2 linked regions of the Drosophila melanogaster genome follow. The gene in region 2 interacts genetically with the main gene of each other region. Each region holds a gene or a part of one and is shown on either strand. Other genes may lie near its edges. The genes, in order: tok and Paics.

Region 1 (9,019 bases), on a different chromosome or scaffold from region 2:
CCTGGCACCTGTGGCCCTTGTACGCCGGTTCAGACCATGGCCAAAAACCCACCCACCCACTTCCCAATGCCCACACCCTTCTTCCTTCAGGCGGTACATCCGTATATCCTGGCCACTGGCTCCTGGCTGCTGTATCCTGCAGCACAGTACAAACGAAATGAGCGGGTGGTCGGGTCGAGTCCTGATTATTTAGCAGCTCGGCATGTGAATGTAAATAAAGTTCAGCCATAAAATACCCCGCAGACAGATAGACAGCCACCCTCCCACTTTTGGGGTCATAATCTGCAACAGAAACAGGACGAAGGTCGATGCAAATAACCAGTGGTCGCCGGAGCAGCAGGATGAACTGAGGCCCAGCGATGCCGTGAAGGGCCTGCGCTTTATTTATAAACCGTGCTAGCAGGAACCGGCACTAAAGTTAAGAAATAATTAATACTAACAACGACGAATGACGAGCGTTGTGTGGCCAGAGGAATCAGTACCCAACACGGCCCATTGGAGACCAGGGATGCGCCTCACCTTGGCATCCCAGTACAGCGTAACCCATCTCATTTCATCATCATCCCTGCAGCCACCCTGCTGTTATTTCGGGTCATGAATAACAATTGCCAGAGAGAAACCAACAGAGGAGCAGGCATCCTACAGAAATATGGCGGCAAAGATTTCTTTTTATGGTGATTGCGTGGGAAAATTGTTGGCAATGGGCTACAAGGCCTGGCAGGCCGGCGATAAAATATGAAAAGAATAAAAGCGTAAAGCAGCTCCCCCAATGCAAATATGAAAAGCGAGTGAAATCCTTTTAATTTGGCAAATAAAAAAGGGCGACTGGGCCAACAAATTCCAGCGAGAAAATGCCCCCCGTTGAGCAAACTGGCGACTTAACTTCTTGCTTGTAAATGCGTGCAAGTGAAAACGATCCGAGAAAACTGACGGCCAGTGAAAAGTTTGTGGCCCAAGTTGGGCTTTGGCCAACTAAAAAGTGGCGAAACCACGGCCAAGGCAATCGAAGCCATTGAGAGCTCAATGAATAGCTTTGCAACGAGGCAAATCTATAAGATATCCTTGACCCTTAAGAATGCCTCAAGATTTCCCGTTTCACTACCACTACTGAACTACCCAATTAGTCTATCGTGCAGACTTTGAAATATGACAAAAAGTGGAAATACTCATAAATTAGTCTCAAGCAAGTAAGTGAAATATAAAATCTGCTTAGTCTTTAATTAATTACACATGGAATGGGGCCACAGCAACGACGACAGTATTCAGCCAACTGGAAGTGGAGCCACTCACCCACACTCATCCCCAGTCAGGCAGACAAACAAGCACTTGCGACATATCATTAACTTTGCTTTATAGCAACCGAAATTGGGAAGAAACCAAGTGATTCGGAGGGAAGGGGGTGCAGAAAAAGTGGCGTGGCAAAAGATGAAGTAAAAATACAGAAGAAGTAGCTTGGGGTGACACTTTCAATGGCAGGGTGCTCCTGTTCTCGAGGACTTTGGAGGAGGATGTGGATGCGACGGCTGCTTGTTAGCAGGATGGTGTCAGCTGTTGTGCCTACATAGGGAAAAATATTTGTATTTCATGGGATCTTACACTGAGAAAATTCAGCGAGCAAACTAATAACGTGCAAGATGTATAAAAGGACAGGAACTTTTGGGTATTTTTCGCAAGTTAATAGTAAATAACTATGATTGAGCCATTTGAAGAATATAGAGACCTATATTTTTATAAATTTTTTTGTTATGTGTAATAAAGACCCTTTCCAAAAAGCCCCCCAATTCATGGCTGCTGTAGCAGATACAGAATACTTAGTAATATCCATAAAATAACTCAAATCTCTTTTGCAGATTTGCCACCCCGCCTGGTTGGCAGGTAAATTTGGGGTTTAATAATGCCTGTGGTCTATCCGGCGTCAAGTGCAGTTATCTTCGGCTGTCCACCTTTTAGATACCTTTTAGATGCCTCCACAGCTCCTCGAACTTAATTCGCTTTTAATTTTTACCCTGCTGCGACAGCTAAAAATGCGGAAAAATCCCCATTGCCATGGCAAAAAAAGAAGAAGACGGAATATAATAAAGTGGAGAACAAGAACCGAAAAATACAGCAGAAATTTGTTAAGCAGGCGCTATCAGTCTGAAGTGCGTGTTCCAGGAAGATGAGGGATGTGGAAGATCTGGGTTCTGGGATGTGGGATGCGGAAACCCAGGGGCTGACAAAGGCAAAAGGAAGTGGACGAGGTGTCCTGGGAAAGGGAATCCAAATGAATTCTATTCAAAGCGCTGCTGCCACAAAATATGAAATGAAATGTTGTCGCTGGGGAGCGAAGGGGGAGGGTGGTGGAGAAATGTTGTTAAGAAATGCATACGCGGGCAATTTTTATTCCTTGCTGTACTGTCCTGTTGGTCCTTCGTCCTGAGAGGGAAGGGCGAGGGAAAGATCCTGCTGCTTAAACACGAAATGCTTAATGGCCAAGTTGCCACAAAACGTTTGCCAGACAAGGGCCAACTCACTGGAGCAAAAATGAAATGCGTTTTCTGGCTCCCAAGGACGAAGGACCTTCCCGTCTGTATGTCTGCCTATGTGTGTGTGTGGGTGTGCTTATTGGAGCGTAAGCAGCCTGGGCAACAATATCAATATGCGTCTTTTGTGCCAAAGCATTTCCCCGCTAACAATTCTACGCCACCGGAAGTTGATATTCTGGCAACCGGAAGTGTTAGGTGTACCGCCCCAGCCCCCCCCCCCCACTCCTCCACAAACTCAATTCAAAAATTTCATATTTTCCATTTCATATTCTTCCACCTTTCTCTACGCATAAATTTCCATCAGCTTCCATTCGGCTGGCACACAAACAAACAAAGTACGCACTGCGCAGCATATGAAAAAGTTCCGAAGACGAGCAGGCAATGCAACCAAAGCAAATTAAGGCTGATGTCTGCCTTCCTGGACCATTTTGGCCTGCCTTTAATTGCCGTCGAAGATCGAGGATCGTTGGTCAAAACAAAGGGGAACATAAAAAAAGAGTAGACTGACTGCCGGGGAAAAAATAAATCAATAAAAGGCCAGACAAGATGAGTTGGGTACACAGAGATCGAGTTCGTTGCCATCGCATAGGAATTCCCTACTATTTCGCGGCTTTTCGCGGCCACCTTGACTTTCGCAATTGTTCCGTATTGCAAAAAAAAAAGAAAAAACAAACAAACAAAATAAGACACACATGTCTGTGCGACACAAAGCGAAATCAGAAATGATTCTATTTTAATTATGCCGGCGGCCTTTAGATTGCCAATTGACGAGATATGTGCTGCGTCTTAACGACGGAATGAAAAGCGGAAAAGTGGAAACCGCACGGCGAAGATAATAGTGTGTGTGTGGCAGTGTGCCTGTGTGTGGTCGCGTAAAACGCAGAACACCCACCAATAATAATCAAGCGATGCTGGTGGTGCTGAAAATCCGGCGGAGACGGGCCGGGGGATTCTCACTGCTGCACACACCGCGTGCCGTTTTTTATTTATAGCCATTCGAATGCTGCGCTCCTATCAGCAGCAACAGCAGCAACAAAGAAGCAACACCTTCAGCCATAGAAACAGCAGCAACATATGAGATTGCAGCAACAGCGGTAACTAAAAAAGTTGCAGCAACATACGCGATAGCAGCAGCAACATTGACATCAGCAGCCGCTTTGGAAACAGCAGCAGCACAAGAGACAGTAGCAACACATGTGACAGCAGCAACAGCAACTATGGAAACAGCTGTAACACATGCAGCAGCAACATATACAGCAGCAACGACAACAGACAGCAGCAGCAGCATCCTCAACAAAAACAGCGTGTTTACTTAACTTATTGTCGTTGGGCGCGGGAAACCAGAGAAATGAATAATAATAAACATGTTCAACGCAAAACCAAAGATCAGGGCAGACACTGATAACGCTGATTTCAATGCACACACACAAAACGATCGTAATCGAATTTCAATCGAGTACGAAGATCACGAGGACAAAATCAGTAATTGGAGGAGCGAAAACCCTTGAATTCACTTGTTGAGTTAGTTAAGTTGCGCTCGCAAATGATGCGAAACTCTGCCGAAATCTCAGCATCCCTTGCAGGTAGAAATATTAAAGGGGTCCTCTTTTTTTTTTGGCCAAACCAATTCGAAACAAGACACTCACTCACTTCACTGGCCAATAAATTTATCCTGCTGCCCTTTGCGGATATTTGCGTTTGGCCATTTGACTCAAACAAGTTTGTTGCCAATATTCTTTTGTTTCGCGACACCGATTCCGAGTTTACAGCGAAAGCACGTCCGTTCACGACCGAAGTTGCTCGCGATTTGAGAACATAAACAGAGCAGACAGATAAACCGAGTCCAAGTCCAAACTGTTCCCACCAAGAGCATGCGCCGAGAACAACTGCGGAAAAGTGCCCAACAGGCGGCTGCGTTTGAACTGCCGCCCCGACGGACGAAAACAAAGGCCACGAATTCACGGGGCCAGTGTCCCTTAGCCAGATCAAAGATCTCCGCGAAGAACTTACATATTTAATTTGTTTACTTTCAAATTTCGAACGATTTTAAACCATTTGTAAGGAAAGCCCTTATTAACTCTTTTCTTATGTTAATTATCATATGAATACTATTTACGAATCACTTACCATAATAGTAACATTTTAAATGGTTAAATACACATAAAATGGTTATCAAGTTATTTCCAATTTTAAACTAATGCCCGTTACAGCCGGCGACGAACAACCCTGGCACAAACGTATCGATAAGAACAGAACTGGTCCCAGGCTATCGGTGCTTGGAAAACATCGGATATCGATGTAGCGCCATTCTTAAACATTGATTTGGTATTTATTTAATATCAACTTTTTTAATGTTTAATCAGAAAACAGTATTTAATATCAAACCAATAGAATTATGATTTTGCTTGAAGCGTAAGGCAAATTTCCCAAAAAGCCATATTGCTTATATATTGTCATATAATGGTATAAAAAGGTATTTATTTTAAAGCTTCCAGGTATTTTCTATCGTTATCGGTGCGGTCACGCTGTGTTAAACTATTTTTGGCAGGCACGGAAATTTTTCTCGCATTAATTGTTGAAATAGAATGACTCAAAAGTGCGAGACAACCAACTGCGGCAAGGATGCGACCCTGCAGTGTCCCACCTGCCTAAAGTTGGGCATCAAGGGCTCATTTTTCTGCTCGCAGCCGTGCTTCAAAGGATTCTGGAAGGAGCACAAGGCGATTCATGCTTTAGCAGGTCAGTTTTAGAAAGTCTTGTTCCTAATGAGTTGGATTGCAATGAAACCATATAATTCTCTTGACTCAGCCGGTGCCTCGAACTCTGCCGAACAGGATGGAGCCTACAATCCATGGCCACATTTCCGCTTCACCGGCAAGCTCCGCCCGTTCCCACAGACTCCCAAGCGAACAGTTCCGAACGCCATACAACGTCCAGATTACGCCGATCATCCAGCAGGACGTTCACTCTCGGAGGAAGCACTGCGGGGCACCAAGATTAAGGTGCTGGACGACGAGGAGATCGAGGGCATGCGAGTGGCCGGCAGATTGGGTCGAGAATGCTTGGATGAGGGTGCCAAAGCCGTGGAGGTGGGCATCACCACCGACGAACTGGATCGTTTGGTCCACGAGGCCGCCATCGAACGGGAGTGCTATCCGTCGCCCCTCAACTACTACAACTTCCCCAAGTCCTGTTGCACATCGGTCAACGAGGTGATTTGCCACGGCATCCCCGATCAGCGTCCTCTACAGGATGGAGATCTATGTAACATCGATGTGACCGTCTATCATCGCGGCTTCCATGGTGATCTCAACGAGACCTTCTTTGTGGGCAATGTCTCGGAGAAGCACAAGAAACTGGTGCAGGTCACCCACGAGGCGCTCAGCAAGGCCATTGAGTTCGTGCGTCCGGGTGAAAAGTATCGCGATATTGGCAACGTGATCCAAAAGTATGTGGCACCACATGGATTCAGCGTGGTGCGCAGCTATTGCGGTCATGGCATTCACCGTGTTTTCCACACAGCTCCCAATGTGCCTCACTATGCCAGTAAGTTTTCGAGCTGGCTAAAAGTACTTTGAATATTATTAATGTCCTTACTTTGCAGAAAACTCTGCCGTAGGAGTAATGGCCCCTGGCCACTGCTTCACCATCGAGCCCATGATCTCCGTTGGCGTCCAGAAGGCTGAAACCTGGCCAGATGACTGGACTGCTGTGACCGCCGATGGCCTGTACTCCGCCCAGTTTGAGCAGACACTGCTGGTCAACGAAACCGGATGCGAGATTCTCACCAAGCGTCGCGAGAACAACGGACAGCCGTGGTTCATGGACAAGATGTGAGGGTCGACCAACTTGGGCTAATACATAACTTCTAGGGCTATCGATCAAGCTTTAATTTGTAATTTTACAATAAAATCTAGAGTTTTTATTCCCAAGTCCAGTTTGGATGGTTTCCATTGTGCCGTTCACTTCTCCAGAGGAGCATAGTTGAGCAGTTTTTCGATAAGATCCACGTGGCCCAGGAGCATGCGACGGCAGCAGTACCTCTTTAGACCCAAAGCATCCAGGGCATCTCTGGGATTGGATTGTAAGATATAATATATATATATTATATGATGAAATGCGGCGTGGAAAGGAGACTTTCCCGCGTGACTTACCCTTCGGTGTATTCCGCTTGCAGGAGACCCAAATACGACTCCCACTTGTTGCCAATGACCTTGCCGCAGGTGAAACAACGGATTGGAATAATCATTTTGTAGATCAGGCTCTAATTCTTAGTTAAATCACGAAAAATGTGCAATCACAACAATGTTTTTGGTAAAATGTGTTTTTACTTGTCATGAGTGTGACCAGAGTGCAGTTGTATTTTTATCTCACCAGCATTACAATGTATCGATAACACAAAAACTTATATCCATTCAAAAAGAACGCTAACGAATATTTGAATAAATTAATGGTTATTTTTATTAACTACCGACTGCTCGCTACATGAATGCGTTTTTTACAAATGAGTGTGTAAATAAATATTTTTGAACAGCGTCGAAGACTAAAAGTGCGTTAACTAATTACTGCTGGCCGTGAGATGCTCGCCGGCCACTTCGACGGAGGTGGATACCTCGAACAAATCTTTGGCTGACTCCTCGCTGTCGCCGTCGTTCCGACCCGCACTGGACACATCCTCCACCGTGCCCTTTTTCACATCATCCGATCTCTTTTGCAGTCGCTATACAAGGAAAGTCTCAAATGTTAGCATACGGAAGAATTTCTTGTCTAATTTTACCTACCGATTCGGCGGCCTCCTCGTCGGGCACAAAGATGCGAAGTGGCGTGTTGGCGCCAAGTTGCTGCTGCACCAATCGCTGGTGCTCCTCGAATGCACTTGCTGCTGGATCCTGAGCCACCTGCTGCTGCTGCTGCTGTTGCAGCTGCTGCGGCGGATGGTGCTGCACTGGTTGCTGCAACTGCTGTTGCTGCTGCTGCAATTGCAAGAGCTGCAACTGATGCTGCTGGTGTTGCTGCTGCAAGTGTTGCTCCTGTGCCTGTGCCTGCAGTTCCTCGAACTGCTGCTGTTGCTGCTGCTGGTACTGCGCCTGAGCCCTCAGCTCCTCCAGATGCAGCTGATGCTGCTGCTGTTGCTCCTGGGCCTGCGCCTTAAGCTCCTCCAGATGCAACTGCTGCTGCTTTTGCAGCTCAATGGCGGCTTGCTCTGTTTCCAGTTGCTGTCGACGTGCCTCCTCCTCTGCGTAGGCCTGCAGCAATTGGGAAGAGTCGTGGGCATGGCCATAGAAGTTGGACACCACGAAGCCACCTTCCGGAACGGAGGCAGTGACCGCTGACGCCACATTGGGCAGGTGGAAGGAGGCCGTCTCGTAGGCACCCTCATTGGGATCACCCAGTGCCGGAGCGGCAATAAGAGCAGCATATTGTGGCGCCGAATCAAGTACAGGATGGATGTTGTGATGTGGATCCTTGGCTGCCTGCAGTATCTGTCCATTGCTGGCTACCTCCTGGGTGAGATCGGCGTTCACGTAACCCGTTTCCACCACCGGTTCCGAGCTGGGCTTGAAAAGCTGCTGCTTGTGGGCCGAGTACAGTTGGTTGGACTGCGTCACCAGGTAGGTGGGATTATAGATGGGAATGTGGGCAGCCGGAATGGCGGCGATAAAGGACTGGGAGTGAACCGCCGGCTGGGCATACTGAATGGGATAGATCTCTGGCGCCGTTTGGGCTGCCGTCTGGGCTCCCACAATCTGAACCAATGGCTGGGCTGGCAGATGGTTACTCTGGACGTCGGCGGGCAGCGGTTTGTTGTTGCTGGGCGTATTGAAAGATTCGGTGGCGGGGCGAATCTTGGTGGTGGGCAGCGAGGGATCCGGATCTGGGGCAAAGAGTTTCTGCGAACCCGAAATGGGATCACGAATGGTTTGGTCATTGGTCTCGTCCTCATGCACACTGTACTTCGGTGGCAAATATGTCTGGGGACGGGCTGAGGAGGATGGTGTTTGGATCTGGGTCTGGGAAGGAGGCTTGTACAGGTAGGAGGTGTCAAGATGACCCTCCTCCACGTCCAGGTGATTGTCGGCCAGGTTCGGTGCGGGTACCGTGTAAATGGGTGCAAAGTGCTCGGTGTTGAAGTTGTTGTGCGTGTCCAGCTGTGGGGGATCAGCATGAATGGAGTTATGTTATATGTTCAGGGGAGTGGGGGGCATGTGCAGTATAAGGATATCTTAAGAGCAGGACATTTTCAATGGACTCCACTTACCGGCAGATTCTGCAGCTCGCTGTAGCTCACAGCAGTGGGCTTCTCGTACTTAAAGGGCTTGTCGTATCCGAATGTGGGTTTCGTCTTGGGCTTCACATTGTTCAGTTTGATCTTCAGTGGTTTCCTTAGAGATCCAGCTGGTTTCAGGTACACGGGCGACGGACCACTCAGCTTCATGGGACGAGGTGGTCCGCGTAGGTGCTGATGCTGGTACTGATGTGGCACATGGATCAGC
Region 2 (9,306 bases):
AGAAATATGTACAACAAAGAAACCCCTTGCGGTCGATGTGGAATTGGTTGAGAGGGGGGTGGCGTAGACGGATGCCACAATAGCAATAGCCACCGCAAACATAGCGCTGCGTCATTGACGTCGGCAAAGCAGCAACAGAGGCAGCGGCAGCGGCAGAGGCGACGCCGCAAAACAATTGCCGGCCATTGTTGTCGTTGTATTTGCAGTTGTTTTGTTGTAGCTGGGACCCCAACGTCGCAGTCACTCACATTTTAGCCCCAAAAGAAAAGGGCATGCTCGAATATGGACGCGGGTTCAACCTGCATAGTTTAAAGAACTGAACCTCTTAGTGCTGGCACTCAAATTGAGGTTAGGTCGAGGTTCCCGCGTAAGTAATTTTTTGCTAGCTTTATGTTTTATAAAAGAAGTTATTCTATTTTGATAATTTTTCGTTTTCTTAGCTCTAAACAAGCGTTTTTAGGCAAGTTTTTGTATCTAAAAACTTTTTTTTATAATTATCTACTGTATACACTAGTTGCTCGCTTCGCTTAAAAACTTTAAATATGTATATTAAGATATATACTTATTAATATTAATGTTAATTCAGTTTGACTATATCTGAATTTCTGAAACGCAATATCCCAAAAGCTAAAATGGCAGGGTATTTTCTTATGAACCAAGCTCTTGTCTTTTTTGTGTTTTCCTTAGTTTTCTCAACATTTTGTTACATTTGCTTTGCCATTCATATTTCTTATTGCTTATTGTTGTTTCCAACAACAGCAGACACTTGTGAGCGGGGTGTGGCAGGCGGCGGGGGGTGGTGTTTCGGTTGGTGCGCCAGAGGGAGAGGCAAAACACAATGGCCACACTTTGACCCTGACTTTTAATGTGTACATTCGCCGTCTCACTCGCACCCTTCACCCGTCCCGCTTCTCTTATGCTAAATTATTGTTATTATTATGAATTGTGCTTCGTTGTTTGTGTTTGTGCTTGTGCTTGTGTTTGTATTTTTGTGGTGTTGTCTGCTAAACACTAAAGTATGATTAATTGACCTGCGGTGGCCGGCGCACTTTAGCACATATTTTCCCGGTCTCAGTACTCCCCGTCTCCCCGTCTCCACGCCTCCCAATCCCCTCTACCACAAGGTATCCATATGATTTTCCCAAGGGGCATATATATACATATGTACATACATGTATTGTAGGTTCAACATCATTAGTAGTTTACTGCTATTAGCAGTTTAATTTGCATAACTAAATTGGCCTTTATCAATTATGTACATATATTACTATATTTAATATATATACCTAGTTTTATTAATGTAAATTTTTCAAGACAATTAAGCTAAACATAGCTATATTTAAAATGAAAATAAAGTTCATTGGTTTACATTTGATAAATAACTCTTTTATTTACATTTTTTGGAAATTTATCTACAATTTCTCTTTTCTCCAAACGTGGTTTTTAATACATTTTTTTTAGCATTCTAGATGCTATTTTAATATATAAACTATACACATGGCTAATTCCCGTTTTTTGTTTTGTTTAATAGAGCCAAGAATCACGTTTAAAAAGTGCAACAGTTTAGTCATTCAAATCGTCATCGTCTCAGCCCAAAAGTATGCTACTAATTAGTTTGAACTAAAAATTGGCAAAAATAAACAAAAAAAAACTTATTGTCGGTTCTAAATTCAAACTAAATCAATTTAAAAATTGGCTAGGGAACGAATGCAGATTTCTTCTAAACGTTGCTCAAAATCAACACAAAGTCAAAAGAATAACTGTTTTGAGCAGCTAATTACCAATGCTAACAATCCCTATCACCTTTTCAAGGATTTAGAAAAATTTATTTTTTGACCAATTTTTGCATATTTTGGTAAGGTAAATTTACAAAAAATGGCAAAAAAATAGAAATACAATTTTTGGACACAGTTGAATTGGAAATTTAATTACGAGCTCGACGAGATATGGCATTCCATACTCAGACAATTATTTTTAAAGTTGCGTCCAAGAAAGGGAATGTTTTTACTCCAAAAATGGAGAAACATTCAATCACATTTACGTGTAATCCATGCTATATTTCTTTTATATTTATAAAAAATTCAGCTCAAAGTGCGTAACATTTAAAATGTAATTTTTATTTTTTGTTATTTCGAGTTCGTAACCTGTCAAGAACGTGGTACAACAAGTTGAAGTCATGCTTTCCTAATACTAATAAAAAAATGTTTGGTTTCAAAAAAAAAAAAATAGGAGAAAGAAGAATTAACAAAGTATGTGATCTGATGATGACCTTTATGGGATCCCTGGATGATCGCCGAACGGCAATGATCAGGGAAGGATTCTCTATATATGGCCTCCTGGTTGATATCCAATGCTGATATCTCCCACCATAAGCTATGATAACCAGCAACTAAGCATTTCGCACGCCGCGCAACTCCTTGTCGGCCTTCTTGAGAGTGATAAAGTTGTTGAGCGCCTTGACACGCAATTTCGACCAGACCATGAAGTTGCCCAGCCCCAGAATGGTGGCCGCATGCAGAGCAGCTGCCTCTGGATAGAGAACTGTGGCACAGCCCAGCCCCGATGGCAGATTCAAGCTGGACCACACGTCCACCTGCATGTTGTCCGATTTGACGGGCGGACAATTGATTACCGGATAGTTGGTGCTGCCGGAAACGACTGGACCCAGTCCATTGGATCGCCCGGCGACGGCCACAAAGATCAAGTTGCTCATCACCGATTCATATTCGCGGACAATGCGCAACGTTTCCTCCGGTCCCTTGTGGGCCGAACTCACGCGAAGTTCCACATTAAGGCCGAGGGATCGACAGCTGGTGGCTATCTTCTCGCTGTGCGATATATCGGAAGCACTGCCCATCAGAATGACAACCAGGTGATCCTTCTTGGGCACAATATCAGCCAGTTGTTCGGCCACCCAAATGAAGTTCCTCTTTACGGTATCCAAATCGCTGGCCGTCACCGATGCCAGATTGCGATACACCTGCTTGTCGACCATCAAACGCTTGTCACCCGCTGGCCACAAGCGCCACGAATCGGAATCAATGATATCGGCCAGAACTATGTTGCCATCGTCGCAGATACCGAACTCCACTTTCATGTCGATCAGGGCGCAATTCTTGGTCTGCCATGCCCTCTCGAGAATCTCGAAGACCAGCAGTGTGGTTCTACGCATAATGTCCACCTCATCTTGGCCTAAAGAAAAACATGTTGCCAGTTTTAGATTTGTATATGTAAAAGTGCTTTATGCCGCAAGTACCCACCGATCACCAGGCCATTTAGCTCGAACTTGGCGGAGACAATTTGCTCCTCGCTCCACTGGGGATCGTGGTTGGCATCATCCTTGAAGAACGTCTCCTGTTTGGGCGGCGAGAACCTGCGCAATGCAAATGTAATTGTAGTAATAAGGCAGCAAATTGAGGCAAATAGATGAATAAATTAAATATCAAGTGACATTTGTATTACTTCTAGTATAATATATATTCTACAGTAACTCAAAGAGGCGAACTTGTTGGCAATCAAAGCCATAAAAAAGAGCTATTGCCTTGGTATGACGACATCAAATGAAACGAATTTACACATAGCATCTCAGCAGCATTGCCCTGGCGAAAATCTTGACTTGAATTACAGATTTCGTGGGCTTTGAGTTCACAAACGATCAATCTTATCAGCGATTGTTGACCCTGCTGCAGTGCATCGATTGCATTTGAATTTGTTTACCGCAAGCGGACACAGATAACACACAGATCGCAACAAATCGAATGGGGTGATAACCCACAGCCAGCCATTGGCTGTTTACCAACCTGTAGCCCTCGGGCACGCCGACATTGCGCTTGAGGAACGAACCGGTGGCCAGGCGACGGGTCACCCACTCAATGGGTATCATCTGGCACTTGCGGGCGATGAAGGCCTTGGCGCCGCACTGCTTCACATAGGCGGTGCGAATGCCTGTCGAATAAGAAGCATTAATTAATTAATTAATTGATCAATTTGGTTAGAAATTGACTAAAATGCATTATAGTTGATTTGACTTATATGGTTTAGCAACTCACCTGCCTCGTTGAGCAGCCGGAAGACCTGACCGTTGGTGGTATTGGAGATCTCCGCCTTGCCGGCCAGATCATGTGCTTTGACACCATCGCCGGCGGTGATGCGATCCTTGCTGAGGAGCAGGCAAAGTCCTGGCTGCTCTGGCAGATCGTACACCTGTTTGGTTTTGCCCTCGATGATGACCTTGCCGAGCTTATAGCCCTCTACTGTGGAAATTCAAGTTGCAGTTGCATTCGTTACGTTCGGTGTTTAGTTAGTATTTAGAATCGATGCTATATGATATATGATGATACTGATTTAAGGAATGGAAAGACAACTTGTTTACGAAATCCACAATTATCTTGATTTAAACAATGGAAAGCCAGCCTTCTTGTTTACAGCAGACAGCTCAATAAACAGCATTAAAATATTATCAGAACCAGGAAAATATTCCGTTGTTTTATTTTTTTGAGTAACCCGAATAACTGTTTAAATAAATCCAAGGCTGGCGGGAAAACATAAACAACTGTCTTGCTTTCCATCACATTAAGCTTGTCTTTTATTGATGAAAGATCGAATAAAAGATGGTAGCTTTGGTACTATTTACGTTCTAGGCACAACAATTGTTTATTTGGAAACCTTGGCGATGGATAAACTTACTGGATGCTGTTGTGGTGGTGGACATCTCGTTAATCGCACGTTGTTGGTCACTTCACTTTAAGAATCGAAATTGAAATCAATTGGCTGCTGGCTGTTTCACGTGTTGCGGGCTTTGCTTTATGCTCGATATTCGCTGGTGCCTTCCCTCTCGCTCTCGCTCTCTATCTCTCTCTCTGTCTTTTTCGCTCTCTCCGCTTGGCTCTATTATTACAATCCGCAAACTCCGATGTTCGTCTGCATCAAAGAATCGCTCCAAAGCAACTGAGCGTCTATAGAATCGCCGGCGCGACTTTATGGCTCGATTTTCTTATCGCCGAACCCCAACACCAATGCAAAGAGATCCATGTGTTTGCGCTCGCGTGTGTGTGCTTGCGTGTGGGTGTGTGTGTGGGCTTAGAGTCGAGTATAATGCTGATTGGTAATACCCTGCAGTTTCCCAAATGGCCGATGAACACCGCGCGGGGCAACTTATGTACTTATGTACATACATACATATGTACATTTTTTGGCAATCTATAAAGCTTTGCTTATGCGTGACAAATTTTATTGTCGCATTTTATTTACAAATTTTGTTTCTAAAATATTTTCTATTCATTTGGTGACTTTCTGAATTTTGAATTTTTCTTGATTTTTGTCCATTCTCCAACTCCTGACATCCACCTCGTCCTGCCTAACATGCTCATCCTGTGATCCTGATCTCTGTCTTTGTCTCTGTCTCTATCTCTCCAGTAGGTAGCCTCTTTATCGTCTTGTTGGCTGAACTGCTCTTTTTGGTGATTGTATGTGTGTATGAAACTTTTCCTTGAGGGAAAAAACGTATATTTCTGGTGAACCCATCTCCGCCGTGTCAATTTGCTCCTCCTAGTGTTCCAAAGCATTGCGTTGCGATCGTCTTCAGTTCAGTTGTTTTGTAGAAAATATATGTATTTTCACTTCTCTCACAAGTGGTTTATTTGAGTGTATTCCTTCTCCTCGGCGGTTTTCTGTCTTTTGAACAAACCAACGTAGTTTTATGCTCCTCTTTAGAATTCTCCTCCTCGCTATCCTCCTCATCCATCACCAGTTGGCCATTTAATGTCGGAAACTTAATGACCGGCAAAATTTTGCGCTGCTGATTGCTTTCATTCATAAGCTTCTTGATGAGATTAGCGATATCCTCACGCTTCTTGGTTACTGTGAGCAGGTCAAACCAATTGCTCAGCTCCTTAATGGGCAGTGTATAGTCGTTGATGGGTTTTGTGAAGAATTGCTCCACATATTGCAGCAGATAGAGGCCGCAATCTGTAAGATTCTGCTGTTGCGGCACCTCCACACTATGACCGGGCATATTATCCTTGTTAAAGACATGCGCCAGCGCATTCGGATACTTGGCCTTGTGCTCACAGGTGAGATAATCCCGCAATATGGCAATCGCTCGATGTCTTGAGGTGACTGCCAACGAATCGAAAATAAGTATCAACGGCTGTTTGATGGGAATATCATCACTGAGTGTCGTCTGCACATTATTATTGTTTACCACCGGGCTTCTAAGGTTTGGATAACATATAATGGCCAGTATCCAATGGGACTGCTCATTGAATGGTATTATAATGAAGTCCTTGTCGAATATATTGACGTTTCGTGTCCACTTCTCAACCCTTTCGTGACGCTTCTGGGCCGCCGTCTGCTTCGTATTTCTGGGATTCGTTCGTGTGGTCAATCTTTTGTGGAAAAACGTGCTAAAGATATGCGTCCTATCGCGCTGTTCCTCTGGTATGATGTTATTCTTTAGCCAGCGCAGATAAAAATCAATGATTATATCGTTCAGATACGATCCTTTACTGAGACACATAAAGTCCTTGATGGTGATGCTCAGGCCACCGGTACCAGTTGGCGGATATGTGAAAAGGGTTTGATTCTCATCGGGTGAAAGTCTTCTCTCGGTTTGGCCATCATCGGCGGCGGTGGTCTCCTCATCACCGCTGCTCACCAGCACCACGGCATCTTCATCAACGTCCCTGCTTAGTATCCAATTGCGATTTCGGCGCAGGCGACTACGCTCTGCGCGTTCTGCTGGTGTGGGTATAGCAGCGTCGCTAGTTGCTTTCACCGCTGGCGAGGATATGGATGCAACATTCGATTGCACCCGCGATTGAGATCCACCAGCTGTCTCTTCCGATTTCTTGCTAACAGCGGCATTGTTCCTCGACTGGATCCACTGGGAGATTGCGGGAGCATCTTCAGCTGGTTGCACGCCCCGAAGACCATTACTCGTCATTGTAGAATTGGAGGTTATAGCCGTGGAGTTGTGACTTCCCTGTTTATTGCCAGATGAACTAGGGTTGTCATGAGAACTAGCAGCTTGAATTCCATTGTTATCCTTTGCAATATGGCACTTCTTCTGTTTCTTGGCCTTGGTATTAGTATTGGCGTCTTGATCCGCCGACAATATCACTTGGCCATCATTGTTTTCTCCCGGACTCCCGCAAGGACTTTTCTTGTGCTTCTTGCCTTTGGTTGCACTTGCAGCTGGCTGGCAACCATTGTTGGCCACCGCAGTCTCTGATGGTTTGACAACCGCAGGGGAGTGCTCTTCACCGGCCATCGCATTGGGTGGAGCGGCATCAGCCGATGATGCCTTTGACTGATGCACCTTCCTATAGAACTCCTCCGCATGGGCAACCGTCTCGGCAATGTTATCACTGATGGGGAAGCCCACAGAGACAACCAAATGGATAATACCGCCGGCATTCTCAATGCAATCAATCGTGGTGCTCTCATCGATCTGAAGGTCCATTTGGAAAAACAGATCCTGCACCCTACACGCAAGATTCGGCAGCTTGAAGGTGACGATGTGCTGCTTTCCACTGCTGTAGATAATCAACATCCTGGCACTTCCTTTGTCCGGATCCGTGTCGGCTCGATTGATCAGCAATTGACGTGAGACTAATATAAAGTCATTATGGGCAATTCGACGTACCGCTTGGTCCTTCGAAACAGTTTCTTTGCGATCCATTTTGGAGCCGGATTCAATAGTATAACATATGTACGTTATATGGGCTGATCTGACTGAACTGAAGTTTCTCGTTTCGATTGCAAATTCTCGGGCTGCTTGATGTGCAAAGTTAACTGGATGGTTGAAGAGTCACCTAACACGGTGACTTTGATCACTATATTCCTTTCATTTTCCAATCTGTGTGTTTTATGCGATATTTGATATCTGTCTATTTTTATTGTTGGGGTAAACGGCGTCCCAAGTGCTGTATCCAAAAATCATCTGTGCGAGTTGCTATCGCCATCGGAGTTTTGCTGCTCATATCGATACATATGTATATGTTTCCAATTGGTATGGATTTTGTGGGGTGTTTTTAAAAATATGTATCGATAGTCCGCTTTGAAATTTGAATGTTGCGAATATTGAAATTAAATAATATTTGAACTGACGAAATATAGGCATTTAAGCGAATCTTAGCTAAGCTAAGTTCTTTGCTTTTCATTTACAAGTATTAGTATTCTTACATGTGGTATTTACAAAGTTATAAGTTCAGCCGTTTGTTGCAAGTTCTTTGTATGGGAATTTTTAAAAACCAAAAATTTATTCTCGTTTTAATTTCAACATTTTGCAAATACAAGTACAGACATTAATCAAATTATAGTTGTGCGTCCGTCATCGGGTCCACCTGTCCGATTTTTAGTCGTCAGCATTGAGCTCCTCTCACCACATGGATCGCTTGGCGGCGATAAGAAAATCAAATGTAAACAAAAATATTATTGTTTTTTTGTTTTTTGCCAAGAGCGTATTTATAAAAAAAAAAAAAAAACAACTGACAGACACACACACGTTTTCCTTTCCGCGGGCCAAAGGGCTCCATTTCGCAATTTGCATCGGTTGCCAAGTGCGGAAAAACGCATCTAAATCACAACGTTGTTAGCTGTCAGAAAGTTTGCCAAGTCGAATTCCTTAAATGTGAAGCAACTGGAAACTGGCTTTTGTTTTACATTTACAAATTTACTATTACTACTACTGTATATACTTTACTAAATAGTGTCATATCTGTGCTGGCTGCAGTAATATATTTTGCAAAATATATTTTTATTCGAATTGTTTTTTCTTATGCATATATTAATTATATATATTATTTAAAATATATTTAACATTTAAGCACGTGGAAAATGCATATGTAAATAATACAACAAGCCTGCTCTATTTTTAAATATCCAGCTGAGTACATCATATTTTTCGGGAAAAACTTATGCTATGTTTTCCGTTAGTTCTTTATTAAATTGAATTTTTCGTTGTAGTCATATAAACTTTTTTGTTTGCTCTAACCAAACCGTTCGCAGAGAAGATGTCATATTTAACTAACAGCTTTATTTTTTTTTTAAATACGCGGGACTTTAATATTTAATTCTCAATTAATTCTCGAAACGATGTTTTTAGTTCATGCTTTTTAGTTCCAAAGCTGAGACTCAAACCCAATGCCAGCTCCATGCAGCGCGGACGCACACACCGCTCGCTATCGATACCCAACAATTAGCCGTCTATCGATATTTGCAGACTATAATATTTTTATTTACACTTGTTGAAAAAGAAAGAACATTTATTTATTATTAAATTTAATTTTTTTGTAATTTAATATA

The links.
Region 1: of Paics (region 2) and tok, changing one suppresses a phenotype caused by changing the other (phenotypic suppression), as found in Drosophila melanogaster (one study listed by BioGRID).

The regions. Positions count from the first base shown.
Region 1 is NT_033777.3:24,715,373-24,724,391, reverse strand, and holds the start of tok (tolkin), read right to left. Parts: upstream 4,696-9,019; 5' UTR 4,653-4,695; intron 4,336-4,652; exon of another isoform or gene 4,172-4,335; intron 1-4,171. Other genes in the region: CG13630 (uncharacterized protein), read left to right, coding at 5,111-5,264, 5,334-6,071, 6,130-6,362; Polr2L (RNA polymerase II, I and III subunit L), read right to left, coding at 6,488-6,596, 6,680-6,774; CG13627 (uncharacterized protein), read right to left, coding at 7,084-7,245, 7,307-8,674, 8,785-9,019.
Region 2 is NC_004354.4:12,755,663-12,764,968, forward strand, and holds Paics (PAICS bifunctional enzyme), read right to left. Parts: upstream 4,956-9,306; 5' UTR 4,712-4,955; coding exon 4,687-4,711; intron 4,254-4,686; coding exon 4,050-4,253; intron 3,946-4,049; coding exon 3,801-3,945; intron 3,374-3,800; coding exon 3,261-3,373; intron 3,193-3,260; coding exon 2,390-3,192; 3' UTR 2,098-2,389; downstream 1-2,097. Other genes in the region: pira (pirate), read right to left, coding at 5,636-7,681. UniProt on the Drosophila melanogaster protein: Bifunctional phosphoribosylaminoimidazole carboxylase and phosphoribosylaminoimidazole succinocarboxamide synthetase catalyzing two reactions of the de novo purine biosynthetic pathway.